Linked DNA regions of Diceros bicornis minor. The protein of the gene in region 2 purifies or fractionates together with the protein of the main gene of each other region. This does not show direct contact. Links are inferred from orthologs where the notes say so. Each region holds a gene or a part of one and is shown on either strand. Other genes may lie near its edges.

Region 1 (7,550 bases), on a different chromosome or scaffold from region 2:
CCAATCTATTAAACAATATTTGGATTCTGAGCAGAGTTTGACACCCAAAAGGTGCTCAATAAATATTTGTTAAATGAAGTCTGTTATCCAAAACATCAGGTATCTTTCTGTTTCATGTTCTATATAAATTGAATGTGCTCGCCTAAATCAACTGTTCTCATCCAAGTCCCAGTAGAGGCCTCAATTCATTACTGATGACTTTTCAGACTTGGAAACCTTCATGCTTCCTCTGCCCTCTACACATAGGATGTTTATAACAGTTTTCTTATTGTGTTGCTTTACATTTAAACACCTCCTTGATGGCAGGGTCTTTGCTTTTTTAACGTATGCATTACTAGTTCCCAGCACCTGATCTGCACTTAATGAATATTTTACAAATACACGACACCAATCAACAGTACCATCACTCAGCTCAAATTTCTATCATATTTAAAAGAACACCATGAGATTCTGAAAAATGCTTTGTTGATATTCAAATTCACTACATCAAAAGTGTTTTCCTAATAGACTCAGAATGAGGATTGTCTTTCATACAGGAATGTGAAAATCTTTCAATACAACTGACTTTTACTTAGTTTTCTCTCCAAGTGCTATGGAACTTCAAGGTTCTAGCATGAGAACAGGAACAATATTTAATAGTGTTTAATTAGATAAAAAATAACTTCAAAGGGAAGCAATAATGTATTCTGAATCCCCAGGGGCAAATTATTGGAACATATTTCTCCTCCAGAACTGTTTGAACTATGTTTTCAACCTATCTGAATAGCAGTATAGAAGGAAAAGAACAGGGTTTCAAAGAGTCTAGATGTTGTTTTTTCAATTACTAGTCATACAAATCCCTGAACATCTCTGAAGTAGAATGGAAACTCCATGAGGACAGGGATTGGCACAGAATACAATTTGTGTTCACTACTTGTGAAATTAATAAAAATCCAATTCTTTCCTTAGGTAATTTGAGGATAAGATTTACATTGCCAATCTCACAGGTCTGAGGATCAACGGGGACAACCCATATGACTACAAACCATACTGGAACAATACAAACGTTTTCGCTAGTTGTTTTTTCTCATTTTGTCATTTGCCCTCTTTTGCTCTCATTTTTTCTCTCTGCCACCCAGTACTTCTGCCTTTCTTTTTTCCGAATTTTTTTCTCCCTTCTTGACTTTCTCCCTCATTTCTTAGCTGAACATAAATTAGAGATAAAGCGTATTTTTTCAGTATTTTTGAATATAATTCTATGTTCACAGCTGTTAATATTAAAAGTAATGAAGTAAAACGTTAGTTTCACCTGTAGGGGGTTGCTTTATTTTTTTGTAGGTTAGTAGCCTGCATTAGAAATACGGTTTCCCTTCAGTCTTTTTCAAGAGTGTGTTATATTATTTCACTTAATCATGTGACTTTTCATGATCCTAACCTGGTAGTCCAGCTGAAGTCAGGCTGAGGGTCATATTTAGCGTAAAAGCTAGAAATTCCTCCCTCAACCCTAACAGACAAGGTGGGATAACGTAAACGCTCTTGTATTCTACCCAGACACCAAGAAACTGAAGCCTTTAATTCATACTTTCCCCTTAGGATAAATATGCATGCAGTCTAATGCTGTATAACTTTATATATTTATTGCACTGTAAAATGCAAAATTGCATTTATGATGTCAAAATGCTAAAAGATACTGAACTGCTTTTTGAGTAAAAGAGGAAATACTGTTTATAATAATGTCACTTTGGCGATAGTTATTTTAAATCTTTGAAAACTGGTGACTGCCAAATTACCTCATTGATTAACTTTAAGAAATACTGTTCTATGAATAATATTCCGGTACACAAAGGATAAAGATTCCTGGGGTTGAACTCTCATTGTTCAAAGTCTCTCCAACACGTAGAATTAGCTTTCCTGTGAGAAAACACGGTGTGTGCTCACCACAAAGCAATCTTTCTTTGGTGATTAAACATGGGGTTGTACCTCAGCGTCACCACTGACCAAATCAGTGACCGCTAAAACATATACATGTATTATATGCACCAGATGGCTTCCAGGAACATTACATGTACTAACTCATTACAGTCTCACAAAACCGATTAAGTATTATTTTCCTCCTTTTTATAGAAGAGAGGTTAAGTACCTGCTCAAGGTCATATAGCTATTAAGAGGTAAAGGCCGGGCAACGGTAGAAATCTAGGCATTTTGGCTCCAGAGTTCATTGTCTTAATGACCATACTAAACTGTCTGTTCAATAGGAACCAATAAAAAAATAATATGTAAACAAAGTATACTTTGTATACACTAGATGTGTGCTTTAGAAGTATAAAAAGTATGAGAGCATATTAACAGCAAAGCTGAATGTCATGCCAGCTATAAAATCTCCTGCAGGATCATTTGTTAGGCTCTCAACATTAGCTTATTTCCTAAGTCAAAGTGGAATGTAGAAAAATTGGATTAAGCAATTAATTAGATCTTTCTAGTTGGTGTTTTCCCTGTATATACCAATGTTCAGTTAATTGTAACCTTCAATTACCAGAATGTTCCATTTCTAATCATAAGGCAAAAGAGAAGCCTTATATTCTTCTTTTTCACTATCTACTCAACGTTTGCACAAATCTTAGGCATGTATTACTAGGAATATCTTTCTCTGTAGTCCTTCATATCTTTTTTTTTTTTTTACATTCAAACTCAATACACTTTCAAATTCTGGCCAAAGTTTGCCAAAGTTTGTATAAGTTTTATTATCAGTGAAATATCTTTAGTCATTCACTGCAGTTTTGTACACTAACCTGAAATGTACACGTGCCAACGACCACGTAATTACTGCCACCGTAGGCAATTAGGTTTCCTGAATTTCCACTCTCAAAGGGATTAAATTCTACCACATGCACATAATCTTCACAATCCACGGTGTAGGCAGCATTTCTTGTGGCATCTTGCTTCATCTTGTATGTCAAGACTTCAGCAGTTGTACAAATTAAATAGCCTGCTACTGGACAAGGTCATGAAAACTGTGGATTACAATACAGACACAGTTAGATAGAAACCGTCCAAGTGTTAGTCACTTTCAGCAAATGAATCAAAGTAAGGACCTGGCATTGCAAATGCCACAGACAACTCAAAAAAATTGAAAGTATTTATTTAAATACTTTGTGAATGATACCTGCAGAGTAAATCACCATGAAATTCTGTTTAGATTATCTAACAAATAACAGTGAGTCCTTGAAGATGGAATCACTTTAATAGTAAATATATTCATAAAAAATTAATGACAGTTAACATTCACACAGCACTATTTGCAGGTATCATGTTAAATTTTACTGACATTATCACACCTAATATTCGCATAAAGCTAAGAGGGAGGTACTACCTTTGGTTCCCATTTTACAGATGGAGAAATTGAGACTTTAGGAGGTTAACCAGCCTGCCAAACTCATAGGATGAGCCAGAATTTGAAAATACTTTACTATGTGTTGGACCAGTACTGGAGAAGAAAAACACAGCCCCCTACCTTGAAGGAGATCACAATCCAGGGATAGTTATGATTCAGCATGCAAAGTGCTATAGATAAGCGGATACAAAATATAGCACCTGGAGGAAGGAGTGCCAAAATGTGTGATACAAAAATAATATTCACAAAACCAGGCACAACACTTTAATCTGTCATGGCCTGGTGCGCACTCCGGAAGCAGCAGCATTCCCAGATAAGACTTACGGATTATAAAGAGGTCTTTTTTTTTTTTTTTTTAATTGGACGCAAGAGCTGTCCTGAAAACAGCTGGGCTTGGTAACAACCACATCAGGTACCTGATGAGCATTTACTGAGAATCAGATGGGATGAATCCCACCTCAGGGAGCTTATCACCTAGTAACCTCACGAGTGGGCATCCGGGACTGGACATTTGTTAAGCGTGACCAGCAGGTGAGACGCCCGCGGAGGCACAGTGGTGTGGGGAGTGCAAAAGATTCGAGGTCAGCAAACTCGGTGCCCGAGTGCTCTGATTAAAGCAGTGCCCAGTCTCACCGCATTCTCAGGCTCTCACTGTACACAGCGGGCTGGACTTGCCCCCTCTAAAACTGTAAGGGCAGAAAAGGGAGGAAACAGAAGTCCATGCCTAGAGTCCCTACGCCTCTCCCAGTGCTAAGCAAGTCCCGCGAGACCTCGCTACCCCTCTCCGAGCACGAGATCGGAGCGAAGAGGGGTGGGGAACGGCCCGGGGAGAGGAGGAACTCCCAGGGACAGGGTGAGAGAGCGAGGCGGCCGGTAACAAAGCGGCACGGCCCCTTGGGCTCCAGAGCAATACGCACCGTAGGACGCCGAGAAGCAGCCAGTACGCAGCTGATCTCTGCTGGGGGCTACGCCGGCCCGCGCTGGCTCTGCTTCCGGGTCAGAGGGCGGGAGCGGCGATTGGCTCCTGGGCCCTCCCGCGAGATTTAAAATGTAACCCGCGACAACTCGGACAGCCGCTGCACTGCAGCCGGGCAGGAGTTTTCTTCAGTAGAGTCTGTGTGTCACAGGTCTCCCTCGAGCCAGGTGAGTCTTGACTCTTTCTCGTCCGCCTGTCACAATTCAAGTGGTGATTTAAGCCGCGGCTTGGGAGGATTTTTCGGTGACAGTAAAGTGCCGTGTGACCGTCTAGGGTATTATTTGTGCAGTGGCTTCGCGCTGGAGCCTGGTTGGGTCTGGGGATGTTGAACAGAGTCACGGTATCTAGTGATGGATGGAGCTGGAAGGTCCTGAGGGATCATCTGCCGACTGGAAGACTGAGGCCCATAGAGATCTACTTAGGAAACCAGGGTTCTAGTCCCAAGCGTGCGCAGACTCCAATTCCGCCACTTTCCCCGTCTCCCTAGTATATCCTCCCAAGGATCTTTTAGGACCTGCATTCCGCCAATGATAGCGGCAACGACTGCCATTTTTTATTGAGCACCTGCTAAGTGCCCGGCACTATGTGGATTTTTTACTTGTCTCACTAACATCTCCTAGTTGTATGAGTTAGGCGTTATCGTGTCCATTTCACAAATGAAGAAATGTATGTTCATCAGAGATTTTAAATACTAAAGGACATACAGCTAATAAATAGGGGAGTCTGGATATGGACTCTGGTCTGTCTGACTCGCAAGTGTAATTCTTTTAACCATCTCACATTGCCTCCCCAGTGACAATTTTCTGTCTCACAATTTTTGCTCCAGTGCAGCTTGGAATCCAGTTTTTTAAAACAAGTGTTGATTATCACTGCTGCCTTCTACTGCTGTTTTTGTATAGTGCAGCCTGACGTTCAAAGTGCTTGCATATTCACTGTCTCATTGACTTCTCATAACTGGCTGGAAGGTGTTATTCTTGTTTTCTTTGTGTTGATACCTCCACCTAGGCAGTCAGGTGTAAAGCTTATTGCGTAGGCTCACACAGCCAGCTAGCTACTGGAAAAGCTGAGACTAGACCAGGATTGGCAAACCAGTGGCACTGCCTCTTTTTGTGCAGCCAATTCCTGAGCTAAGAATGGATTTTCTATGTTTGAATGGTTGGAAAAAAAAACCAAAAGAAGAATAATATTTTATGACGTGAAAATTACATGAAATTCAAATTTCAGTTTCCATAAAGTTTTGTTGAAGCACAGCTACGCTCATTTGTTTATGTATTGTCTGTGGCTGTTTTCACACTGCAAGGTCGAGTTGAGTAGTTGTGACAGAGATCTTGCGGCCTGCACGCCTCAAATATTTACTATTTGGCTCTTTTCAAAAAGTATGCTGACCCCTGGATGAGACTGTTGGCTTTTATATATGCCAGGCACTGCTCTAAAAACTTAACTTGTATTTATGTCATTTACTTTTCTCAAACCCCCATGAGATAGGAACTATCATTTTCATTTTCAGTACAAGGAAGCCGAGGCAGGAGAGGTGACATAACTTGGCTAAGATCTTACAGCTAGTAAGTCATGGAGCCAGGATTCAGAACAGTCTAATTCCAGCTAGTCTTCATTGTTAGCAACCTGAACTCATAGTGCTTTTAAATAGTACCAGTAAATAACTTACTACTAAAGATTTATTTCAGGCAAACTGATCGTATCACTGGAGTTTTACTTCTTCACTTTCTTTTCTTGTAAGAGATGAGGGTGATAAGGGAAATCTAACTCTTAGCTATTTACTAGGGTTTGTATTTATGTAGATATTTTAATTTATAGTCTTCTACCTGTCTTTAAATTGCATCACTGATTATGTCTATAAATTATTATCTTGTAAATGGCATATGCCCATTTTCTTTTCTTTCTTTTTTTTTTTTTTGCTGGGAAAGATTTGCCCTGAGCTAACGTCTGTTGCCAGTCTTCTTTTTTTTTTTTTCCTCCCCAAAGCCCCAGTACATAGCTGTATATTCTAGTTTTAGGTCCTTCTAGTTCTTCTATGTGAGCCACTCCCACAGCCTGACTACTGAAGATGAGTGGTGTGGTTTCACGCCTGGGAACTGGGCCACGGCCCCCGAAGTGGAGCATGCCGAACTGTAATCACTAGGCCATCAGGGCTGGCTAGCCATATGCCCATTTTCTTGATCATATAAACCCAAGATTCCTAGTAAACATCTGGGATTCTGTTTATGCCACATAAAAAAAGAAGAAAAAGATAGCACAAGGAGTAAGTAAATAGGATGTGTACAGTAAAATACTCAAAATAAGATAATGGCATGTGAATATGTTGGAGACTAGGGTACTTAAAAGAAAGTAGGAACAAAAAACTTTTAGCAGGCATGTCTGTAAACTCAGAGAAAGGAATTGGCTACCTGATATAGGCTTGGGTATGTAAAACATTGCAACTACATCCAATTATTTTGAAAAGCTTTTGTCCGTCAGGAGAAGTTATGCAATATAGTGATTTAAGAGCACAGCTTGCGGAGTTAGGCATCTCGGGTTTAGGTCTATTTGGCCATTTGCTAGCTGAGTGACGTGGGGCATCACCTTCAGATGTAAAATGAGGATAATAATAGACTTCCGCATAGGGCTCTTGTGAAGATTGAATGAAGGAATAAATATTAAGCTTTTGAAAAGTATCTGGCACCAAGAAAGCTCCTAAATATTAGCTATTGTGTTAGTTATCTACTGTTGTGTAACAAACCACCCCGAAACTTGGTGGCTTAAAAACAGCTATTTTATTTGCTTAGGATTCTATAGATCAGCAGTTTGGGCTGGACTCAGGTAGGTGGTTTTGCTGATCTTGCCTGGGATGACTCATGTGTGTGCAGTTCATCTGGCAGGTTGATTGGGGCCAGAAAGTCTAAGATAGCCTCACTCACATGTCTGTAAGTTGGTATTGGTTGTCAGCTGGTGCGCCTTGGTTCTCGTCCATACGGCCTCTCCAGCAGGCTAGCTTGGACTTCTTCATATGGCAGTCTGAGAGTACCAAGAGAGAAGGAACCAAAGCTACAAGGCCTTATGTCAGGAGGCCCCCAAGACCACCCCCAGGTTGGATGATTTGTTAAGAGAACTCAGAGGACTCAGCAGATAGTCGTGCTCAGGGCTATAATTTATAACAGCAAAAAGATACTAAGCAAAATCAGCAGAGGGGGAGAGGGTGCACAGGGC
Region 2 (7,918 bases):
CCTCTCGGAAATGCCCTCAGTTAATGTCTTCTGGGTCAAAGGGTGTCTGTGGTGGTCCTACCTGGCTCTGCCTTGGGCTCTCGCTGTGCCTGGCCTCTGCATTTGTACTGAGTCATCTTCCTCCTCTCTGTTCTTTTAACCCCCTTTCCAATGGGGCTAAGAAGTGGCCTCAGGAAGAAGACAGGTGGGAAGACTATTGTCAAACCTATACCCACTCAGCTTCTATCCCAGAGCAGGTTACTTTGTTGGCCAGAAGACTGAGGGCTTTGAGCTATAAACTAATCCTACGTTCCTCCCACCAGAGAGCGACCAGACTGCCACAGCCCTGCCAACCCACAGGGTGCTGCTGGGAGGCTGACCACACCCCTGAGGCTACAGCCTAACTGGTAAAGGCTGCAAAGCTACACTGGATTCATGAATGATCAACAGAAATGTTTCCCTCCCACAGAAATGCCCATGTCCACAGTGTGGGAGGGAGCGCTAAGGGAATACTTACAATCATGTCCTCGTGGGAGGTGTCCACAGTGTTAATTACTGACACCTAGAACCAAAGTTATCATTGGTAAATGAACTGATGGCAGTTAGAATACAATCATGTCATTAAATCCACAGATCATTTCTAAAGCTCTTGACTTCATTTGTTCATTCATTCATTCAGTAAACATTCACTCTAAGTACCTTCTTTTTGCCAAGGGGTTGGAGATATAGACACAAATAAGAGGTACTTCTTGCCCCTGCGAAGCTTGCACATAAGTAACCTGAACATGGCAAGATAAATGCTCTGACGGTGGTTACGAGTGCTGTAGCAGCCTAATGGGCCACTAGTGGTAGACACCAACTGGGGCTTAGATGAGGAGCAAGTGCCAGGTGGCACTGGGAAAAAACACAGTCCAAGCAGAAGGGGATAACAGGAACCAAGAGGGGGCATAGCAAGCAGTCCTCGCTACCTTTGGGGGTGAAGAGGGTCCCTGAGGGAGCTGTGGCTGGTGTTCCCTTCCAGGATGACAGAGGCTCACATGTTCCAGGCAGTTTTTTGCATAACACGGTTAATACCTAAGACCTGGAGAACTGATTCAAGTTTCTCCTGAGGCTGCTTCCTGGCCCACCCCCTGTGACAGATCTCAGACTGTCACCTACTGATCCCGCTCAAATGATGCCCCCCTTTTTGAAGATTCCCAGATCCCCCAAGTGGCAGGACTCCTCTGAATATCTTCAGCACTGAATGTCTACAACACTTGACGCTGTTTCTTCTCCCAACTAGGTGAGCTCCCTCAAGCCAAGGTCTGCGTTGGCCATAGTTTTGAATCCTCTCAAATCACCCAGCACAATGCTTTGCAACCAGAAGGAATGAATAAGCAAACGAACAAAAACAGACAGTTTTACTTTACTCAACCACTGTTCTCTTCAAACTCCCGGGATTGAAAAGGTTTCAGTTTGGAACTGATATTTCTTACCATTTCCCCATTTCATCCTTTTCCAGCACAAGACCTGCAGGTATAAAGTCTGACTTGACTTTTCAGAAAGGTGAACACTGGAAGAGGATGGCTGCCAAGCAGTCCAAAAGGTACACATCAAGTAAGCACAAGTTCTCTCACCGAAGTCTAGACTCCCTAAAAAGTGGGCCCCCTCGGTCTGCAAAGGCAGGTAAGGAGGATAAAAGAGAAGAGTCTCTTACGTGTGCCAAGCTGTCTAGATTACAAAGTGCCATCACATGTGCAGTGGGAACGATGAAGAGCAGAGTTAATCAGAGCTGCCTGACAGACTAAAGAACTGAAGAAGCCCAGAGAAGAGAAAGCACTTGCCAAAGTCCCAGAGCTAGATAAAGGTGGAGCTGGGAAGAGCCCCACCTGCTAACTCCCAGCCCACCGAGCTTTCCACTCCACTAGTCTGCTCATCTAGAACATAAAGTAGTTGTTACATCCAATGCCCTAAATCACTGGCTGAGGGCTAAGGAGAGTCAGGAAGAAAATTCACTGGTAGTTTCATACCAGCTAACCAAAGGACCTCAGAGATAACCAGCACTTACTTTCAACTACTCTCACACCCCAGACAGGATTGGTGAACCCCGCTTCTCAACAAGTGCTTTTTAAGAAAACAAAACAAAACCCTTTATTAAAAAGTCCTTCCTCCCAAGCACCTCAAGTCGTCTGGTCCTTGTTAAGTATTAAGAAGCAGCCCTCACAATTCAGCTCTTCAGAATCAGTTAACGAGTTAAAAGTCCATTTAGAACGAGCTAACTGTCAGAGCACAAGACCCCAACTCTTCTCAGCAGCTGAGGAACCAGAGGCTAAAGCAGATGCACGATTCGCACCCGCGCCTGCAGGGCAGGAGCTGCAGCCAGCGTCTGGACTCCCGGCTCCCCCGGGCTCCCTCGGGGCGCAGGCACGCCTGCCTTCCCGACCCCCGCGCCGGGCTCAGGCGGCCGTCCCTGCACTCCCGGAGCCGCGCGGAGGGCGCAGACACGGCCCCGCCGCAGGGCCGCGCAGCCCCCCGCACAGCGCCGGGCGCCCGCCACAGCGGCTGCCGAGAGCGGCGGCGGCACCGGGACTGCTCGGGGCGAATCCCGGCTCGGGCCCTCGGCGCGCCGCAGGCCTGGCCTCTGGCCCCGCGGCTCCGCGCCGGTCGGCGGGGACGGCGACGGCGCCCGCTCGAGGGCCGCCGGCGGGCTGACTGCCAACCACGCCGGGCTGCCCCCGGGCTCGGGCGCAGGAGCCCCGCGGGTCGGGGGCTCTTTCCAACCGCCGGGGGGGGAGGAGAGGACAGGCAGGGGCGCGCGGCGCGGCCGCACAACTCCGGCGGGGCCCGGGGCCGCCCCTCTGCACCCCAGCCGCCCGGCGGGGCAGGGCCGGAGCCCCCAGACCTCGGCGCGGCAAGGATCCCGGGAGGCCGCGACCCGCTCGGCGCCCCGGCCCCCACGCTCACCATGTCTGCAGTGTGCCGGCTCCGGCCTCGGACGTGGCAGCTCCCGGCGGCGCCTCCGAAAGCCTCACTTCCGTCGCCGGGCCGGCAGGCCGTGGGGCCCCGGCGCAGGAGCCTCCGGGCAGCAACGCGCCAGCTCACACCAAGGTTCCGCGCTTTCCAAAGGCCGCCCCCACCTCTCCCCCCGCGGCCCCGCCCCTTCTGCTTGCAGAACGCGCGAGACTCGCGGGGTGGGGTTCTCGTTCCCCCGGCGACCCTGACCAGGGGCTTTTGGAATATGAAGATCTAGGCTGTCTTGCTCTGGATCAACCCTTCCCTTTTCCTGAGATCCGTATACGAAAGAAAGGATTCACACCCACAGCGTCACCCGCCTGTCTGCGGTTCTGGGTGCGGCCGGCCTTGTGATGACCATTGTAGGTTGATTAGTTCTGGGGGGAGTCGGGAGACCGGTCCTCGTGCTTCCTTGTTGTTAGTCCCTCCTCAGGACCCAAGGCTGGGACCAGGGGCAGAGAAGTCCAGGAAATGCCCCCTACCAGAGGCTGAGCCCTCTCCAAGCCGGGGGACCCATGCTCCAAACTGCCCCTTCCTCGGAGAGCTGGGATCCCCTGAGTCTGGCTCACAGGTAGAGCCCCCAGGCAAGGAGGGATCTCAGCCAGGCTCCTGCAGCTAGAGCCGGGACCCAAGCCCCGGGGCTCCTGACCCCAATCCCCGCTTCCCACAAGCACAGTGAGAACGCTGCACTGCTGGACAGGGCCGGGGGCTCCCTCAGCCACACAGATCTGGCAGCCCTCGGCCGCTCATGGCAGTAAGGAGTCCGGTGACTAGGGTGGAGACTAGACTCTGCTTGGGTACGTCGCAGTCCCTCCATTTCCTCTTTTGAAACTGGAGGTGAGAACCCTAGCTGGAGAGGGTGCTGCTTGAGGGAAGATGTTAAGGCTCAGAGAGTGGGACACACCCAGACCATCAAGGAGCTTTGGAGCGGGGGCCCAGCGAGTGGCGTCTCACAGAACTCAGGGCTGGGCCTCTGGGCAGCAACCCACCCTTCCACCCCCACCCCAGCTTTCAAGACTCCTCACTTCCCTCTAATGGAGAAATATTGGAGGGGTGTGAAGGCGTGCCGTTAGGGCGGAGCAGCCAACAAAGGGGCGGGGCTCTTGGGCCCCCTGTGTTTCAAGGGACAGGCCCTGGCCTTGGCTCTGTGGCTGCACCAGTGATTCTCTGGGTGATAAGGTCAAATCACTTCTCTCTGAGCCTCGCCTTCCTCAAGTGGACATGGGGACAATGGCATATTAGATATAATACAAATATAATGCATGGGGCATAGTGGTTATTAAAGGAATTCCTTGGTGTTGGCATTGAAGTTGGAGAGACTGGGGATTTGGGACAAGGAATGCAACTGTATCTTATTCATTAGGGTCTTTGCTGGTGGGACTGAAAAGCATTATAACATGGAGGTTTTGAGTGCTGATACTGGGATCAAGACTGCTAAGTATCAGTACTGACTCTCCTACTTACTAGGTGGGCACACCTTCCACCTCTCTGAGCTGCTGTCTCCTCTTCTGTCAAGTGGGAGTTATAATACCTCCTCTGAAGGTGGATCTTGGGATTAAAGGGACCCTTGGATGTGAAACGGTGTTTGGAAGTTGGATGGGCCTGTGGTGCTTGATCTGGGGATCAGTTCTCTCTGAAAAGAGCTGGGATTTGTGTGTGTGTGTGTGTGTGTGTGTGTGTGTGTGTGGTGTGCATGTGCAACCCTCACCCTTTGTACCAACACTGGGACCATCTCTTGATCTGGGCACATTCTCATTCTCCGCTGATGTTCAGCAGAGGTTTGCAAAGTTCAGACTCTTAGGGTGCCAGGCTCCCCTCTGCCTTCCCCTTCCCTAGTAGGGGATGCCACCTACATCCCATGTCCATATCTCCCATCACCTCCCTCTGGTTAATCCCAGACCCCAAATCAGCCCATTCTTAGTTTTCTCCAATTTGTGCCCCTACCTCCCAGACCCTCTGCCCCTGAATCTCCTCCTCCTCCTGAGGCCCCTTCCCCCAAAGTCTTGCTCTCTGGGACTGTCAGCCATTCCTTGTGAAAGGTTAATGACTCATGGCAGGTTAAACTTGTCTCCCTTGAACGGTGGATGTTTGAAAGGTGTGACTAGGTGGAAGGAAAGAGACTTCCCACTGCGCTGTGCACCCTTGGGCAAAGTGCCTTTCCCTCCCAGGGATTCAGTTTCCCCCTAAGTTCAAATCCACGGAGGGTAGGGACCCAGCTAGCCTACGGAAAAAGGCCTTGTGATGTGTACCGTGTCTGCATTTCCATGTGTGCATTTATTGTTATTGCTCAGTATAGTGTTGAAAAGGCAGACAAATCCCATTAATTACAAAGAGCACAAGCCAGAGATACAGAGAAATAAAGAGTGTACAATAAGAGCACAGTCATTTCCCAGCCCCGATTGTCCCAGAGCCCCCCAGAGCCCCCCAGAGCCCAGGCAGCTTGTGGAAGCTGGAGGTGGCACCATTTCCTCGCTACTCTGTTATAAAATATGTGTACACAAGAGTTAGCAAAGTGTGGTGACCCCAGAGAGGAAAGGTCCGGAGGGAGAGCACCACAGGCATTACAAAACAGACTCGGGGCTGAGAAGGGCGGTCCGAAAGCGGCCTCAAATCTCTTGCTTTTGGTGGAGGGGGTGATGGCTGATGCCCAGGGCCTGGGACCCCCCCGGCCCCCACTCGGGTGGGTGGGATCTCTACGTCAACGTCAGGAGAGCTTGCTTTGGAACTTGGAGAAGACTTGGGGATTTTCTGCTGTTGTCTGGTTTAGGCCTTGGCTCTGGAAGACCCAAAAGCCTTCTAGAAATGCAACCCTGCCCTGCTCTTCCAATGGTGGGATCTCAGAGACTGTGGAGAGAGTTTGGGGTGCGAGGCACGTCACAGTGCACCCGGGTGACAGCCTCCTGTAAGTAGAGCGAGAACGGGGAGGGGAGTCCGGGTGGTGAGAAAGGCCAGGCAAGAAACAGCTGCACCCCAAAGGGCCTGTCACCCAACTACTGAAAACTCCGAACGAAGAGCAAGAGTTGACCCTCCCCCAAAGAAAAGCAGTTCAGGAAAGGGAGACAGGAATAAATGTTTCTCCATGAGGAGAATTAGAAATAGAGGCAACTGGGCCCCGCATTCTGGTAGTTCTGGGTCTGGGGGACACCCCTCTTTCTCATCTGGACCAGGGCAGATGGAGGGGCTAGCCCAGCACAACCAAAGGGGGTGACTTTGGGTCTCAAACTGAGATTGGGTGGTGGCTCGGTGGCCTCTCTGATGACACCCTGGCTTAGGGGACAGGTGAGATGATGGGAGGAACATTGGGCTTCCCTCAAGATTCAGGGCGCCCTTTTTGTCTCTCCTCACAGGACACTTTATTTAACGAGCCTGAGTGGACAGTACTTCCAGTGGCGGGATGTTTGCACATAGAATGACAGGGCCCAGTATTTGGGGTGGGAGGAGGGGAGAGGTGGAGGACTTGGCAAAATTTTAAAGTTTACTTGGAAGAGTAGATGTGAGAGAATAACCAGGGAATTTTGTAAATTTTTGTAAAAAACAAAAAAGAGTGAAGGGGACTTGTCCCAGCACATATTAAAACATTATATAAAGCGACAGTAATTAAAACCATGTGGCTGGTGCCAGATGAGACACACAGATAGGGGAACAGAAGAGAAATTCCAGAAACAGACCCACATTTATCTAAGCTGTCAGTCTGCGGTAAAGGGGGCATTTCAGGATGGCTGGGGAAAAGTGTGGCTCTTCAGTAACTGGGATACCCAGGATAAGACAGGTCCAGAGTCCCTGCCCCAGTGCAGTCATTGTCATGAGTCTGGTGTCAGAGGCAGGGCACCCTCCCTCTTGTCAGCTCTATGCTTTGGTTGGGACAAGGGGGCAAGGGGCCATGGTGAGGGGTTGGTGGGAGCAATCGAGGCTGCTTCTGGGTTAGGGAGAGCACTGCTTGAGTCGCAGGAAGGAAACGCCTGAGTTTCCTCCCTGCCCACCTTAAAGGCAGGTGACTCTACAGCCCCAGAGGTCACTGAATGGGCCCCTGCTCGTCCCTCATCTGTTGGAGGGAGACAAGTTGGTGAGCTTAGACCTCAGAAATGAATCTGCTGCCTTCTCCTGGAGCCCCTGTCCAGAAGACAGAAAAGAAGCTAAGAGGGTGGTCCAGTCCCAAACAGAAAAAGTATACATTACAGAGTATATATTTACTATGTTCTGTTTGATGTTGGTTTTTGCCCTTTTTTTTTTTTTTTTTTTTTTTTTACACCACAGACATTTCAGAACCACACTGCTGGAGTAAGAAGAGTCAGCAATTGAAAGCATAACCGTTGCATAGTAGTAAATGAACAGAGACGGTGAGTTCTTTATTTACAATTATTGTCTAGATAAAAAAATTCATAAAAACAGATGAATGGTCATAAATTATTTACCCCCTAATGGGGTGAACTGCCAAACGTACCCCATGCTGCTAGATATAGGACGCAGAGTGCAAGCTTTATGTACTACAGTGAGTTTTGACAAACCAATCATTTCCTGTGTGTGTGGATGTGTGTGCAAGTGTGAGAGTGAGGGTGCGTGGGTGAACAGCCATCATTCCTGACCAGAGAAAACCAACAGCAATGTCGGGCACTCTTGGTAGCGCCGTCGCTCCCTGCTCCTCAAGCTAGGCTCCACTCAGAGAAGCCCCTCCTGTCTTCCTCGCGCGCTGGCTCCAAAGGAACAGGGAGCATGGTGTGCAAGCGCAGCTTCCCTGGTGTCATGGAATAAGGTCATGGACACAAGATTGGAACAAAGAAGCGGGTGGAAAACCTTGACAAAGGAAACGACAAAAAACACCACGTTCCAAGGCTGCCCCATGTTTTACGGGTGCAGGTCTTTCCTTTCTCGGCAGGAGAGCTGTGGGCTGGCTTTTGGCGGTGGTCGTACTGGAATCCAATCTGCGTATCTGAGGGCTGGTCACCCCTTT
Region 3 (7,397 bases), on a different chromosome or scaffold from region 2:
TCACTGCCTCTACCGACACCATGCTGGTCTAAGCTGCCATCTTCTCTTGCCTGGACTGTGGCACCAACCTCCTAATCAGTCTCCCTGCTCCCACTCTTTTCCCACTACACTCTGTTCTCAACCCACAGCCACACCAATCCGTTAAAAACATAACTTAGAGGGCCCAGCCTTGTAGCTGAGTTGTTAAAGTTCCACACGCTCCACTTCGGTGGCCGGGTTTGGATCCTGGGCATGGACCTACTCCACTCACCAGCCCTGCTGTGGCGGCGTCCCACATAAAAAATAGAGGAAGACTGGCACAGGTGTTAGATCAGGGCTAATCTTCGGCAACAGATCTTAGCTCAGAGCAAATCTTCCTCAGCAAAAAAACAAAAAACAAAACAAAAATACCCCACAACTTAGATCATGTCATTTCTCCAATTAAAACCTTCCTATCTCACTCAGAGTAAAAGTCAAAGCCTAAAATAACTGACAAAGCCTTGATCTGGCCCTGGGTTACCTTTCTTATTATCCTATCCTTTCTTCACTCAGCTGCAGACTCCTGGCCCCTTGCCATTCTTTGAACACAACAAACAAGTTGCTGTCTCAGAGTTCTTTGCACTGTTGGTTCCTTTTTCTTGAAAGTTTCTACCTGAAATTCTTGTCCCCCAAATATCTTTACTTCCTCTGCTCAAATGTCAACTTATCCCTGGGTATTGCCCGACTAACCTATATAAAATATTAACACCCATAGGTGTTCCCCTCCCCTCTTATCTTGCTTCCCCGTTCTCTATTCCACTTATCATCTGACAAACTATATTTACATGGTTTCTTTGGTTATTGTTTAGTGCGTCTCCCTCCATGAAAGCAGGGACTTTGTCAGCTTTGTCCCTCCCCTATACCAGTCCCTAAACATTAACTAGAATTCATTAGGCACTCAAAAATATTTCTTAAATAAATGAGATCTGTATCTCTAACACAGGCCTTTCTTCTGAGCTTCAGTCCTGCAAATTTCAACACCTACTTGACATTGCCAAAGGGCTGCTACATAGATACTTCAAATGTAGTACATCTAAAAGCATTATTCACATCTCTCTAAACTCGTCTTCTGCATCTCAGTAAATGGCAACTGCTCCACCCAATATCTGACTGGCCACATGAGACACCAGGGAGTTGCCCTTGCTCCCTCCTTTTCCCTTACCATCCCCCACCCCATATTCAATCTATCACCAAGTCCTAGTGAATCTACTTTCTAAACGCATCTTAAATTCATCTATTTTTCTTTTCCTAACCACTCTTACAATTGGGTCACCAGCGTCTCTTACTTGGGCCATCATAAAAGCAAACTGTTCTTTTGTATTATACCCATTCAACCCAAATCCACTTTCCACAAAGCAGACTGATTTTTTAAAAAATACAACGTTGATCATGTTAGTAACCCTTTAAAACCCTTCAATGAGTGCTCAATGTACTTAGGATAAAATCCAAAATCCTTAAAAAGGACCTGAGGGTCCTTCATGATCTGAGTCCTGCCTACCTCCCCAGTCTCAGCATCTTTCACATCACTTTCCCTTTCACCCACTGCACTCAAGCCACACAGACCTTCAGTCAATTCCTCAAACCTGCCAAGCTCTTTCTACCTCACCGACTTTGCATATGGTGATCCCACTTGCTGAACTGCTCTCTCTCCCAACCGCCTGCCTGGCTACCCTTCCATCCTTCAGATCTCAGGTTAAATGTGACTTTCTTAAAGGCTTTCCCAGCCCTACCAATAAAATTTAGTCCTCCTATTAGCCTCTCATAGTCCCTATACTTTTCCTTTGAAGTAAGCATGAAAAGTTTGTATTTGTGTACCTATATTGTGATCATCAGTCTTTTTCTTTTTAAAACTGCCCCACAGGGCTGGCCCCAAGGCTTAGCGGTTAAGCGCGTGCACTCCGCTGCTGGCGGCCCAGGTTCGGATTCCGGGCGCGCACCGACGCACCCCTTCTCCGGCCATGCTGAGGCCATGTCCCACATACAGCAACTAGAGGGATGTGCAGCTATGACATACAACTATCTACTGGGGCTTTGGGGGGAAAAATAAAATAAATAAGTAAAATTATAACAAAAAAAAATACTGCCCCATAAAGGGTGGGTCCACATCTATCATTACACTGCTACAACATCTTGCACGATGAAAATGGTGGTTGTTTTTGTTCATCACTTCATCCCTAGTACACCTAGCAATGCCTGATGTATAAAAGCTCAAACATATTTGTAGAGTGAAGAAAGCCATAACGCACTATAAAAACATAATGGGTCCATGTACAAAACTGGTCTTTGAGGCTTTATCCTCTAAGCTACATTTCCTCTGCTTCTACTGCTGCCTGGGAGGGTATCTCTCCTAGAATTGTGTGTCTCCTTAATTTTCTCCTGATTCAGATATGAATAGAAAACAGTTTTTCTCTTTTCCTATCGATTACCGTTTCGGAGAATGACACTTGGGGAACAGCCACGGAAATTCAAACGCCGAACCACCCTAGGGGTTTGGCGAACACAGTACTTACCAATGGATGAACCTGTTTCTGGTGACGGAGAACAACTTGCCACTTTCCACATAGTAGAAGCCTCCCGCACTCTCACTGTATTTGACTGCTCCGGCCAAGGCATTTGCAGTCCCTGCAAAAGGAGAGTGGTCAGCCACACACGTGGTTCTCGGGGGATGACAGGGACTGATGGCGCTGAGAAAGCAGAGGGTAACAGATTGACAATTCCTACAAAAAGAAAGGGAAGAAAACAAGGAAGACACTAAGGGAGCTCTGCACCCGGAGCTACAGGCATGTGGATTCAGGAAGATGAACTAGGGGGTCAGAGATTTGGGGACCCATGAGGGGAACCCGAGGGAAAGGACAGGATCGCGCCCTCCTTGGCTGCTTCCGTACCAACGCCGCAGACTGTGAATTCTCGAAAGTGCCTCGGCCTTTCGCGCTCAGCTCCGCTGAGCTCCACGAAGCTCCGTTCTATGGCTCCCGCCGCCGCCATCTTCCCGCCGCCGCCGCGAGGCCCGACGGGACACTGGCAGGCCGGGCGGCTGTCGTCACTTCCGGGGGCGGGGCGGGGAGACGCGCACAGGTGGCGAGGCCGGGGGAGCAGAGGGGCGGGGTCGACCCGTCGTTTGGAGGCTTCAATGGAGTTGGCGGGGGTATGAGGGTGGGCAGCGAGGAAGCCAGCTGAGAAAGGGGCGGGGAGCCGGCCCTCCCTCCGGGGACCTTCGCGTGGCCGGGTGGGACGCCTCCGGGGGGCGGTGCCCTCTTCCCGGCCGCCTCAGGCAGGGGGCGGGGCCGGGCTTGTTTCCAGTTTGAAAACGCCGCGCGGGCGGGGGGCTGAGCCTCCCGGGAGGGGCGAGGGCCGGCGAGGCCGGGCACATGGGCGCCCCCTGCCGGATTCCGAGCTTGCGGTCACCTCTCCCTGCGTCGTGGTGTCGGCCTGCGAATCTCTCCTTTTCTTCACCCTTCAGCGACACGTGGGATGGGGGGGAATGAAGAGGAGAGGGGCCTTCCGTGTTGGAATTCTTGTATAATGAATTCTATATGCTCGTATAATAAAACGTGATGTGTGCAATTAAACATGGATGCCGCAACCTGTTGAGATTCCCTAAATGCTGTTCCTTTGCATACCTGAAAGGAATTTGCCTTTGTTCCACCTGTGATCTGGATGTTTGGAAGATACTGCAGCTTTACCCATGTCTAGAGCAGAGTAAAGCTCAATATTGAGGAAAATGCTAATTTTCAGGGGGAAAGGTTTTTTTTTCCCCCTTGATGGTCAACGTTTGTTAAGCACGTCTGTTATTACTTCTTATTCATTACCAATGACCGAAATCCTTCCTTATCATTCTGTGTTTCATTCAACCTATTCTGACCACTCTCCCATATCTTTCCACCTCACTCTTTCTAGGACACCACCTCTAGCAAGGGAATCCCTCCATTCCAATCCATTGTTTCTACCACCTTTTCACTGTCCCTCACTTCCTTGATGTTTCCTTCTTGCTCTGCTTATATTCCATTTAAATTTAGTCTCTTGCCTAGCTGTCTATCTGCATTCTCCAGTAAAAAAACACGACTTTGATTAACTCCAAATTGGCAGCTGAACAGGCCTGGAGAGACATATACAGCTACACTGACACACTCCCTCTGCCTCCATCATGATTCTAAACCTTGGGGGGGCTCATACTGCTGCCCAGCAGACATTGTAGCATTGTGTTTGCCTTGTCTGTATACCTTCCTAGATGAGTATTTCGCAACTCATCCAACACCTCCCTCTGAGACGGAACCAAGTGGGCTCGCCTCCTGGTGAGTTAAATAAGACTGCACCAGTGGAAGTTGTCTCCCAAAGTAAAGCGTGATTTGCAGCAAGTAGGAGGCCATAAGGAATCATTTCCAAAGTCATGGCTTCTCCGAACCAAGGAAGACAGGAACTTTTATTTGGTTGGGGAATGAATATTCAAAAGGGGGAGCTGGGTATTCGCTTGCACAGGCTCAGTTGGAGAACATGCTTCCACATAATGAGGCCTAAGCTCCTCCTGGAGAGATCTTTGCATTAAAAATAAGGCTTGGTCAGTTTCAGGATGGCTGCTGGTTACGTCTCCTTAACACACAAAAGGAAAAGAAACAACTTGGAAAAACAGTTAATTGCTTCCAAACCCACCTTTGAGTTTCTGGAGGCCCAGAGCCGGTGACACTTCCTCATCTTCACTCAGCCTGCTTCTTCAGTTAGAAAATTAATGCAATCCAAAGAGAATTTCCTCTACCACCACCCCTCCCTCCTTCCCAGCATCTTTTTTTTGTGTGTGAGGAGGATTAGCCCTGAGCTGACATGTGTTGCCCATCCTCCTCTTTTTGCTGAGGAAGATTGGCCCTGGGCTAACATCTGTGCCCATCTTCCTCTACTTTATATGTGGGATGCCTGCTACAGCTTGGCTTGATGAGTGGTGTGTAGGTCCGCGCCCGAGATCTGAACGCGTGAACCCAGGCCTTGGAAGCAGAGCACAGGCAGCTTTAACCACTCGGCCATGGGACCAGCCCCCTATGGTCGGTATTTTAAGTCACTAAGTTTTTGGGTAGTTTGTTAGGCAGCAATAGATATCAGGAACTTTTTGTTACTGCACCAGGTCCATTTTTGCCAGCCACCCAGAAAGCCAATCACCGAGACAACGAGATTGCAGAGAGAGAGGATTTAATCACAAGGCAGCCAAGTGAGAAAAACGGGAGAACAAGTCTCAAATCCGCTTCCCCAAAAATAGGGGCTCAGGGGTATTTATGGGGTAGGGGGCAATGTGGTCTGAAATGATTGGAGGTGAGGAGAGATGAGGTCATTGATGATCTGCGCAAGTGTAGTCAGGCTTCATGTTTCTTCGTAGGACACATGGTCACAGAATGGCGGCATTAACATGCCCTGAGGGTGGAGTTCCAACCTCTTGCCATCAAAAGGGCCCAGTTGATGGGTTGGTGGTCTCAGTCTGGCCTGAAGTGGACAAAGGGCTCAGTTCCTGAAAAAAAATAGCTCAAACACCCATTACCATGGTAATCCAGGCTCCAGGGAGATGTCATCTATAGGAACCTAGTGGGAGTCAGATAGCATATTGCCCAAACAGCACAGTTAACAATGAATAAGTTTATCATGCAGATTTAAGTCCTCTCCTTCCATTCTGATAAGTTTCTAGGTAAGGCCATCCCCCCTTCTTCCTGGTGCAGGGAAGAAGATACCTTTACAAATGGAGACTTTCTTTACCAATGTAAATGTCTCTCATAAAGGGTTACTAGAACTAAGGATGGGTTTATCACGACCCACCCAGGTACCCAGAGATGTCTATAGTAATGGCCTTTTCTGTGGGCAGGCCTCCCATCCCAAACTCCTTTGCTCAGTTAGTGGGGGTGGGGGTCAAATGTCATTCGGGCAGAGACATATTTTGAGTTGGCAAATTCCAATCCCCCATAGTTACTAGCTGTTTAATCATCAATGGCTGTTTGCCTGTTTCATTTTCCTCCTACAGTCTTCCACATTTCCTTCTCAGATCATTGAAACAACTCCCTATTGATCTTAATCTGTTCTTGCTCTGCCTGCCTCTTCGTTTTACAAATACACTGTGAGATAACAGTTCCTATTCATCGCTTATATTGTTGTGTTTCTTCTTGGAATGCTGTAACAAAATACTAAAGGCTGAGTGGCTTCAACAACTAACATTTCCTTCTCACGGTTTTGGAGGCTAGGAAGTCCAAGATCAAGGCACCAGCAGATTCAGTGAGGGCCTGCTTCCTGGGTTATAGCCAGCCACCTTCTTGCTGTGTCCTCAAATTGTGGAAAGGGCAAGGGAGCTCTCTGGGGTCTCTTATTAGGACACTAATACTATTCATGAGGGCTCCGCCTTTATCACCTAATCACCTCGGTGATATTGTGATTTATAATGAGAATATTATATTTGGTCTTTATCCCTGTTCCTGGCGCAGAGCTCCTAAAACCCTTGGAATTCCCTAAACATGAGAGAGCTAAAGATGTCTTTTGTTACGTTAATGAGGTAACTTTTGGAAAGTCCCTAGGTAACCTAAGGAGGTGGCTGGTTGCCAGGGGAACCAACCACGTGATTAGAGGGCTGGAACTTTAAGGGAGGGAAGAGGGGCTGGAGATTGAATTAAGTCACCAATGGCCAATGATTTAATCAATCATACCTATGCAATGAAGCCTCCATAAAAGCCCAGAGGGGGGAAGTTCAGAGAGCTTCCAGGTTGGTGAACTAGGATGCATCGGTGTGCCAGGCCCTAAACTCCACAGGGACAGAAGCTCCTGCATTCAAGACCCCACTCTGTGTATCTCTTCATTTGTCTGTTCATTCGATTCCTTTGATATTCTTTTGTGTGTGTGTGTGTGACGAAGATCGGCCCTGAGCTAACATCTGCAAATCCTCCTCTTTTTGCTGAGGAAGACTGGCCCTGGGCTAACGTCCACGCCCATCTTCCTCTACTTTATATGGGACGCCACCACAGCATGGCTTGATGAGCAGTGCGTGGGTGTGCGCCCAGGATCCGAACCAGCGAGCCCTCAGACTTCTGCAGCAGAGCGTGTGCATTTGACTGCTTGCACCACCAGGCCGGCCCCTCCTTTGATATTCTTTATAATAAACTGGTAATCTAGTAAGTAAATTGGTCTCCTGAGTTCTGTGAGCCCCTCTAGCAAATTAATTGAACCCAAGGAGAGGGTTGTGGGAACCTCCGATTTGTAGCCAGTGGGTCAGAAGCACAGGTGACAACCTAGACTTGCAATTGGCATCTGAAGTGGGGGCAGTCTTTTGGGACTGAGCCATTAGTCTGTGGAATCTGATGCAATCTCCAGGTAGATAGTGTGAGAATTGAGTTAAATTTGTGGGACACTCGGTCAGTGGCCAT
Region 4 (7,023 bases), on a different chromosome or scaffold from region 2:
GTTTTTCTCACCTATAGTTCTCACAGCCTCCTTGTGATCAGCCCTGAAAAGATTTATCCGACCATCTTCTCCAACTGTGACAATTTCTGGGTTGCTGCACACGATACCCGTGCAGGGTGCACTGCAACAGGAGGGGCTGCCTGGGCTCGTGTGGTAGTGAGCGGCCGTCCACTGCTGGCTGACTGACAGAGTCTGGGCATCAGAAACGAGCAGATGATTAACCAAAGCAAAGCTCTAAACACCTAGCACTTTTCCCCAACTCAAGAGTATTTTTAAATTCTGTCTCATACCCTTCGAGAAAAAGAATAACTCTCTCCTTTTTTGTTTGTATTTCCGAGTAATAAAGTCTAGAACTACTCTACAAAGCTCTGTATACACTGGATTAGATTCAAAATGAATGCTGCTCAATAATGTCCCACATTTATAGCAAACTATAATTTTATTTATTTATTTTTCCCCCAAAGCTCCAGTAGATAGTTGTATGTCATAGCTGCACATCCTTCTAGTTGCTGTATGTGGGACATGGCCTCAGCATGGCCGGAGAAGCGGTGCTTCGGTGTACGCCCGGGATCCGAACCCGGGCCACCAGCAGTGGAGCACGTGCACTTAACCGCTAAGCCACGGGGCTGGCCCAATATAGCAAAGTAAAGAAATGGGTTTTAGGTACCAGGTAGTCATGTGTTCAAAAGTAACTCTAAATTCTTAAGAGAATTAGCCTACATGTAAAAAATAACTCCCTGTAGTGCTTTCTAAATGACTCGATTCAGAAAAATATTTAACAAGATCTGGGTCTTATATTTACTACATATGCCTATCCACAAGGTGACCTTTATTAATCCAAAAATCTAAATAAGCACTCTCTTCTAGCAACTGAAAACTATTACTACAAGTGGGGCTATTGTAAAGATTTGCCCTCACTGCTACTCTTTGAAAGTGACCACTTGTGGGCTTCAGCATACACGAAAGGCATTGAAAAAGTGCCAAGTCTTCATAGAGTGTATCCTCTCTTCTAATTAAAACCTGGGTTCTATCCACAGAAGTAAAGTAGCTGTTCTTGTTCTCTCTCATGATACCTTAGCTAGAATGTGCTCTTTTTTTCTTCAAAAGATTAGAATAGAAACTTAAAACAGAGAATTACTGGAAAATCACTTGCCAGAATACCATATTGTTAGTTCTAAACTAACAGAATTTATTTAAGAGATGTCGAATTTCAATAAAAGCTCACACAAACATGGTTCTAGAATTAATCTACTAAAAGATAGGTAATATAATGGTGATATTTTTCCTCTCCATGTTTTCAGGCTATAAAACTTTTTATTTGTGTCATTAAGTACAGTCTTCTTTAAGCCTTCCTATAAATAATTAAAATACAAATTCAGTTTTCAAAAAAAGTTCTTTACCTGGTTATTTGGATGGTGAAGGAAAACTGTTACACATCCTGTTGATGAAGCAGCTACAATCCTTTCCTGGTCAAAAAACTAAACAGAAAATTCCTGCTCGTTATAGATTCAGAAATATTAGTAGTTTAACTCAGTAGTATAACAATTTTAAGATGTGAAGAGCTATAAATGCTAAGCAAATAAAATCTGATGATAGATCTGAAAGTCAAAACTGCTATACAAATAAAAGTATTTTCATGAAGAATAAATAACAATAATTTTTTCCCTAAACTCATTCACCTATAATTGATTTAATTTTGGACCACTACCGTAAAGGTTTAGAAAAGTATCATTCCAGGGTTAGGGAGCTTTCTACAGAATCAGGACTGCCAGGACTTTGAAGTCATGCAGACCAGGATTTAAAAACTTAATTCCATTGCCACCACTTACTACTGACTTTGAGACTGTCGCCAAGTTAAGTTCTCTAAGTCCTGGCAAACCTTTAAGAGGAAAGAACTAATCCTTACTTAGGGGGTTGTTATGAGAACTCAAAAAGCAAAACCTGTCAAGTGCCTTGCACAGTATTTGTCACATAGTACATGCCCAAAAGGTCTTAGTCTGTTTTCTCACTGGTAAAAGACATAATACCTGATTCACAAGCATGTGATGAGAATTAAACTAACTTATGTAAAGCTCCCAGAACAGTGCTTGGCACATAGCAGAAGGTCAGTTAATTAAAAAAAGGATTAAAAAACTATGCTTAAATCTACATCTCCTTCCCCAGTCATGATTTTGGCAAATCATAACCTATAGAGAACTCAGTCTCCTGTAAACCGGGGCGAGTCTAGACAAACTTTACGGTCCTTTGCGTCTCTCAATGTATTACTCTCCGCTCTTTAAGTTAGCTTTCGTACGTTCCACAGACTTACCTGTAAGTCCATCACGTCACCATGGTGTTTGATGTCACACAGTAACTGATGGTCTCCTTCAAACCCTCCATCAGAGTCCGAGTTCCCAAAATCGCCAATAGACCACAGGGAAACACGATTTTCCTGTAAAATAGACAGATTTATCCTGAGATGAAATCTACTTTAACCTCTCGGAAATTAAAATTCGCAATGCCTTCAAATAACCTTGCTTTAAAAGCATCTCAGAACAGTCTGGTGGTTACCAGGGGGAAGGGGGTTGGGAGGTGGGCACAAGGGGTGAAGGGGCGCATATATGTGGTGACTGACCAATAATAATGTACAAGTGGAATCGCACAGTGGTATCAACTATTATGACATCAATTTAAAAAAATAAAAAAAAAGCATCTCAGACAAAAGGCATGGTGACAGTTTAAATCACAACGAGATGCGAGGCCCAGGCGCACCGTCGATGGCTCGAGAGGCAGGGCAACCGAGACGGAGGCCGGGGGCAGAGAAGGGCGAGGGAGGCTGGGGCCAGGCGCGGTCCGGGAGACCGGGATGAGGCGGCGGTACCTCGTTGTCCCAAGAGCCCGTAGCGAAGGTCTCTGCGGTCTGCAGGCTCCCCGGAGGCACCGGCCGCCAGCGGGTTTTGCTGATTTTCTGAGACACAAACTTGGCATAAATCTCCTCCATGGCGACAGCGACCGCCTCAGGTACAGCGAGGAGCGCGCCGCGCGCCTCTCGGTCCCGCCCCTTCCCGCGCGGCCCTGATTGGCCCGCACTCGACGAGCGGACGGTGGCCGCGGAGAGCCAATCCTCCTCCGTCGGCGCTGCGGGCGCCACCAGCCCCTGCTCACCGAGGCGACCCCGAACAGAAGCAAGAGTGTACGGGCCTCGTGCTACAGGACCTGCTCTTAATGTGCACGCTCAGTGTAGTGACACTGAGACAGTGCATTTGTGCGATAATCGTGCACTGTAAAACAAACCGAAGAGCCAAAACAAAACGAAATCAATGCAAGAGAAGCCGCCTCAGAGCCACACCCAAGCATTCAGTCTTGCATTTCACTGCGCATAAAAGAGATTCAAAGTCCTTACATTGTCAAGGAAGTACGTCCATTAACGGACCAGTTTATTGTTCTAAACCTCTCCCTCTTTATCCCCCAAACAAATCCTTGTTAATACACTGTCAGAGCCTGGAGTTGGAATTCTGAAGACTCCAGTTCGAGTTTTGACACCCATTGCTTAGCTGTGTAACCTTCCTCAATTCATTTATGAATATAATTAAGAATGAGTTTGATATGTAACGTCGACAGCCCAGGAACCGGTGCTGTAGGTTCCCTCTTCTCTGCTTTTGATTACACCTATAATGTCCTTTTATTCCTCTCTCCTTCTCAGAATCTTGCTCATCCTTCAAGGACCAGTTCTGCCCTGTATCTTTTCCTTATTACTCCAGCCCATGCGATCTAAATTAACATAGCACTTGATATCTAGACCACTAATAGCACTTATATTTTGCCCTCTATTGCTAGTTTTCTTTGGGTGCAGATCTCCCCAATTAGAATGTAAATCCTATTGCATTCAAGACGTATTGTTACTGAACCAAGTGGGCTCGCCTCCTGGTGAGTCAAATAAGACTCTACACCAGTGGAAGTTCTTTTACAAAGTAAAGTGTATTTGCAGAGATGGGGGTGCTATGGAAGCCACCAGCCAGGAAGCATTAATGGGGCAAGTGCCCACTTTCTACTCACCAGAGCAATATCTAAACAGCTCACTTCCCCCAAGCAGTTCTTGATGACTGTGCGCCCTGTAGGGCCAGCCCAGGAACCCTGGGAGGCAGCAGACCCCCGAGGCTCTCAGCCTGGAGAAGACTGCTAGGGACCCAGAGGGAGTGGAGTGCCCTAATCCAACCAATGCGACAGGCAATGTTCCCTGTCAGCTTCTCGATCATTGTCTTGCACAGCTGATAGCAATAAAGCTGGTGTCCAGTCTAACAGCGGAAGGCTTAATTAGCTGAAAAGGCACACTCGTGTCGGGAGAATAACACATTCGCCATAGGATACTGTGGTATTTTTAACCAATTGCATTGTGCTAAGGAGCAGAGCATCCCCCACGCTCCACCCTACTCCATATGTCATGGTATTCTTCCACTCTGAATTTGTGCTTGAGAGTTGAGAACAAACCAAGGTCCCAAGGTCTCTGCTGACCACACACTGATGGACTTGTCACAAAGCCAGAGGCTAGAGTACCCGGGTTAGAAAAGGTTCTACCAAGATTAATCAGGCTCAGACGGTAACCGACCTATGCATTAGTCAACTGGGTTGGGTGAGGTAGGACGGAGGAAACCCACCGTCTAACAATCTGGACGGCTATAGGAGCAGACCCGCCGCTCGCAGCAGCTGACCCCGCGCGACTGCGGAGCCTCCGCAGCGGCAGAACCAGATCGGCCCAGCTGCCCCGCCACCGCCCCAGGTGACCAGAGCCGCAGCCGGGCACGCGCCCGGCCGCGCCGGTGCCCACCCGCCTGGCCGCAGGCCACCCGGCAAGGAGACGGCGCGCGGCGGCGGGGGGCTGACTCAGCCCGGCCGGGCTGCCGCAGCGGCCACCAGCGCGGGCGGCGGGGCACGTGGCCGCGCCCCCCCCCACCCGGCCGCGCCCCGGTGGGGCGTCACAGAGCGCATGCGTGCCGCGGGGGATGCCGGGAGCGCGCAGTGGCGGCGGCGGGGGCGACGGCAGTCACAGCGGCGGCGACATCGGGGACGCGAGCAGGGCGGTGACTGTGTGGGAGGTGTTTTCACTCTTGGGGAAGCTGCTGGGCACCGTCGCCGCGCTGAAGGTCGTTCTGTTCCTGCTCCGGGTGTGCTTAGCGATGGCCTGGAAGTCCGGCGGCGCCAGCCACTCGGAGCTGATCCACAACCTCCGCAGTAAGTGCCACCCCGCCGTCCGGAACGTTCTGTCTGCGCCGCGCTGCCTACTGGAGGGCCGCGGCGGAGCGTTGCACCAACCGTCCCGGGCGGCGTGCGCGTGCGGCCGCCTCCCCCGGGACCTGTCACTCTCTCTCCTCGGGAGGGGACAGACAGGGGCCGGGGCCGCTGCCAGAGGGGCGGGGGGCGGCGTGGCGCCGCGGGAAGGGGGGCCGGCACAGGTGGCGGGCTGTCACTCGAGTCCACCGCCTCTCGTCGGGTCCGGCGGGCGGGGGCGTGCCCCGGGGTGGGGGATGCGGGCCGGCCCCCGCTCCTCCTCGCCTTCCTTCTGCTGCGGGAGCGCCCTCTCTCCTGTCCTCCTCCCCCGCCCCCCGTTCTTTCTTCCGGGTGAGGTACCGGCGCGGGGAGGGAGGGGAGAGGATTGTCACTGCGGATGCTGGAGAAAGTTCTGGGGCGCTGTCCACTGGCAGGCTTCGTGGGGGTCGGAGGGGGCAGTGGTCAGGAGATGCTGTTCCTAGGAGGCTTGTTTCATCCTGAGATCCAATCAGCAGTCGTGCATGTGGATGCTCTGCCTTCTTCCAGGCCCCGTGGGCTTTACAAGCCTTGCCGGCAGGTCTTCCTGTACCGTTCTCGTTGGTTATTGTATTCCTTCCTCTGCTGATCATTTCGGGGTGGGGTGAATGCTGTGTCACTTTATTTTTTTACGTTGCAATACAGTGTCGCCCACTGGTCGGGAGACCAGAAGAACCGCAATCCGTACCACTCTCACTCCGGTCAGAGCTGATAGCACTCTCTTTGCCACAACTTGCGAATAATCATATCCTGCTATGTGTCATATGTTATTTAGCTTTTCATGTGTTTATGTTTCCTAATTCGATTTGTGACCTCCTTGAGGGCAGGGACTTTTTTTTTGTAAATATCTTTGAATCCTATCAAAGAACTTAATACTCATTTCTTTTTTCATTTGTGCCAATTAAATGTACACTATATGCTTGGATCTGTGCTAGGAATAGTAAGATGAGCGACAAATAGTACTGTCTGGCACACGGTTAATACTTAACATTAGTCATTTGACTTTTTTTTTTTTACAATATTTAAAATTTGGAAATTGTGTCCTTACTGTTTAGTAATGAAGAATATTTAGATTTCAGAATCCTGTCGAGCATTGCCAGTGTTCACTTTATGAAAGGATATTTGATTGGGAGTGGACATTTATATGCTGAGGCAGTATTATGAAGTGTGATGTAGATTCCTATGGATTGCATGTAAGCTCATTATGTTGTAAATATTTTAATAAAATTTCTTAAAATGATCTGCTGCCTTATATTGTGGTGTGCTTACTGGAAACCTTCTATACAAGAATTGTGACTAAGTAATTTTCCACCAGTAGGTTATCGCAGTAGCCACTTGGCTGTGGCAGGAATTTGTAATCAATCAGGCTCTTAAAATCTTTTTTTTTGGGCCAAATTTGTAGTAAGCCAAGACTAGATCTTTTCCCAGTGGTTTTATAATCACTTTAATATATTGCATTACCATTCTTAGCTGAAATTTCTAAGGATATTTTTCTATCTGAAAATTTAATAAATATTTAATATACATGCTGGTATTGCAAATATTTAGTTTTATACTAGGTCTGTGATTGGTAAGAGGAAATTAGAGTACTCAAATTGTTTAGCCTGTTTTGTAACACTTGTGCAACTTTAATTTCAACTTCTTGCTGAATTAATTCTAGCTAATAGACTTTATTTTTATTTATTAGTTTATTATAAAAGTAACATTTGCTCATGTGAAAATTTCAGTTGGCATAAAATTTGA

What was found.
Region 1: the proteins of SEC13 (region 2) and NUP37 purify together in Homo sapiens (affinity purification with mass spectrometry; 5 studies listed by BioGRID and IntAct, counting the BioPlex papers as one, with this or other methods). This does not show direct contact. The link is inferred for Diceros bicornis minor from reciprocal best matches to the Homo sapiens genes SEC13 and NUP37.
Region 3: the proteins of SEC13 (region 2) and NUP160 purify together in Homo sapiens (affinity purification with mass spectrometry; 4 studies listed by BioGRID and IntAct, counting the BioPlex papers as one, with this or other methods). This does not show direct contact. The link is inferred for Diceros bicornis minor from reciprocal best matches to the Homo sapiens genes SEC13 and NUP160.
Region 4: the proteins of SEC13 (region 2) and NUP43 purify together in Homo sapiens (affinity purification with mass spectrometry; 3 studies listed by BioGRID and IntAct, counting the BioPlex papers as one, with this or other methods). This does not show direct contact. The link is inferred for Diceros bicornis minor from reciprocal best matches to the Homo sapiens genes SEC13 and NUP43.

The regions. Positions count from the first base shown.
Region 1 is NC_080764.1:21,258,902-21,266,451, reverse strand, and holds the start of NUP37 (nucleoporin Nup37), read right to left. Parts: upstream 3,005-7,550; 5' UTR 2,925-3,004; coding exon 2,769-2,924; intron 1-2,768. UniProt on the Homo sapiens protein: Component of the Nup107-160 subcomplex of the nuclear pore complex (NPC). The Nup107-160 subcomplex is required for the assembly of a functional NPC.
Region 2 is NC_080741.1:86,341,591-86,349,508, reverse strand, and holds the start of SEC13 (protein SEC13 homolog), read right to left. Parts: upstream 3,003-7,918; 5' UTR 2,926-3,002; coding exon 2,923-2,925; intron 542-2,922; coding exon 497-541; intron 1-496. UniProt on the Homo sapiens protein: Functions as a component of the nuclear pore complex (NPC) and the COPII coat. At the endoplasmic reticulum, SEC13 is involved in the biogenesis of COPII-coated vesicles.
Region 3 is NC_080770.1:22,679,947-22,687,343, reverse strand, and holds the start of NUP160 (nuclear pore complex protein Nup160), read right to left. Parts: upstream 3,019-7,397; 5' UTR 3,004-3,018; coding exon 2,904-3,003; intron 2,641-2,903; coding exon 2,529-2,640; intron 1-2,528. UniProt on the Homo sapiens protein: Functions as a component of the nuclear pore complex (NPC). Involved in poly(A)+ RNA transport.
Region 4 is NC_080778.1:28,162,113-28,169,135, forward strand, and holds the start of NUP43 (nucleoporin Nup43), read right to left. Parts: upstream 3,008-7,023; 5' UTR 2,981-3,007; coding exon 2,861-2,980; intron 2,432-2,860; coding exon 2,309-2,431; intron 1,479-2,308; coding exon 1,401-1,478; intron 193-1,400; coding exon 12-192; intron 1-11. Other genes in the region: PCMT1 (protein-L-isoaspartate(D-aspartate) O-methyltransferase), read left to right, coding at 4,980-5,208. UniProt on the Homo sapiens protein: Component of the Nup107-160 subcomplex of the nuclear pore complex (NPC). The Nup107-160 subcomplex is required for the assembly of a functional NPC.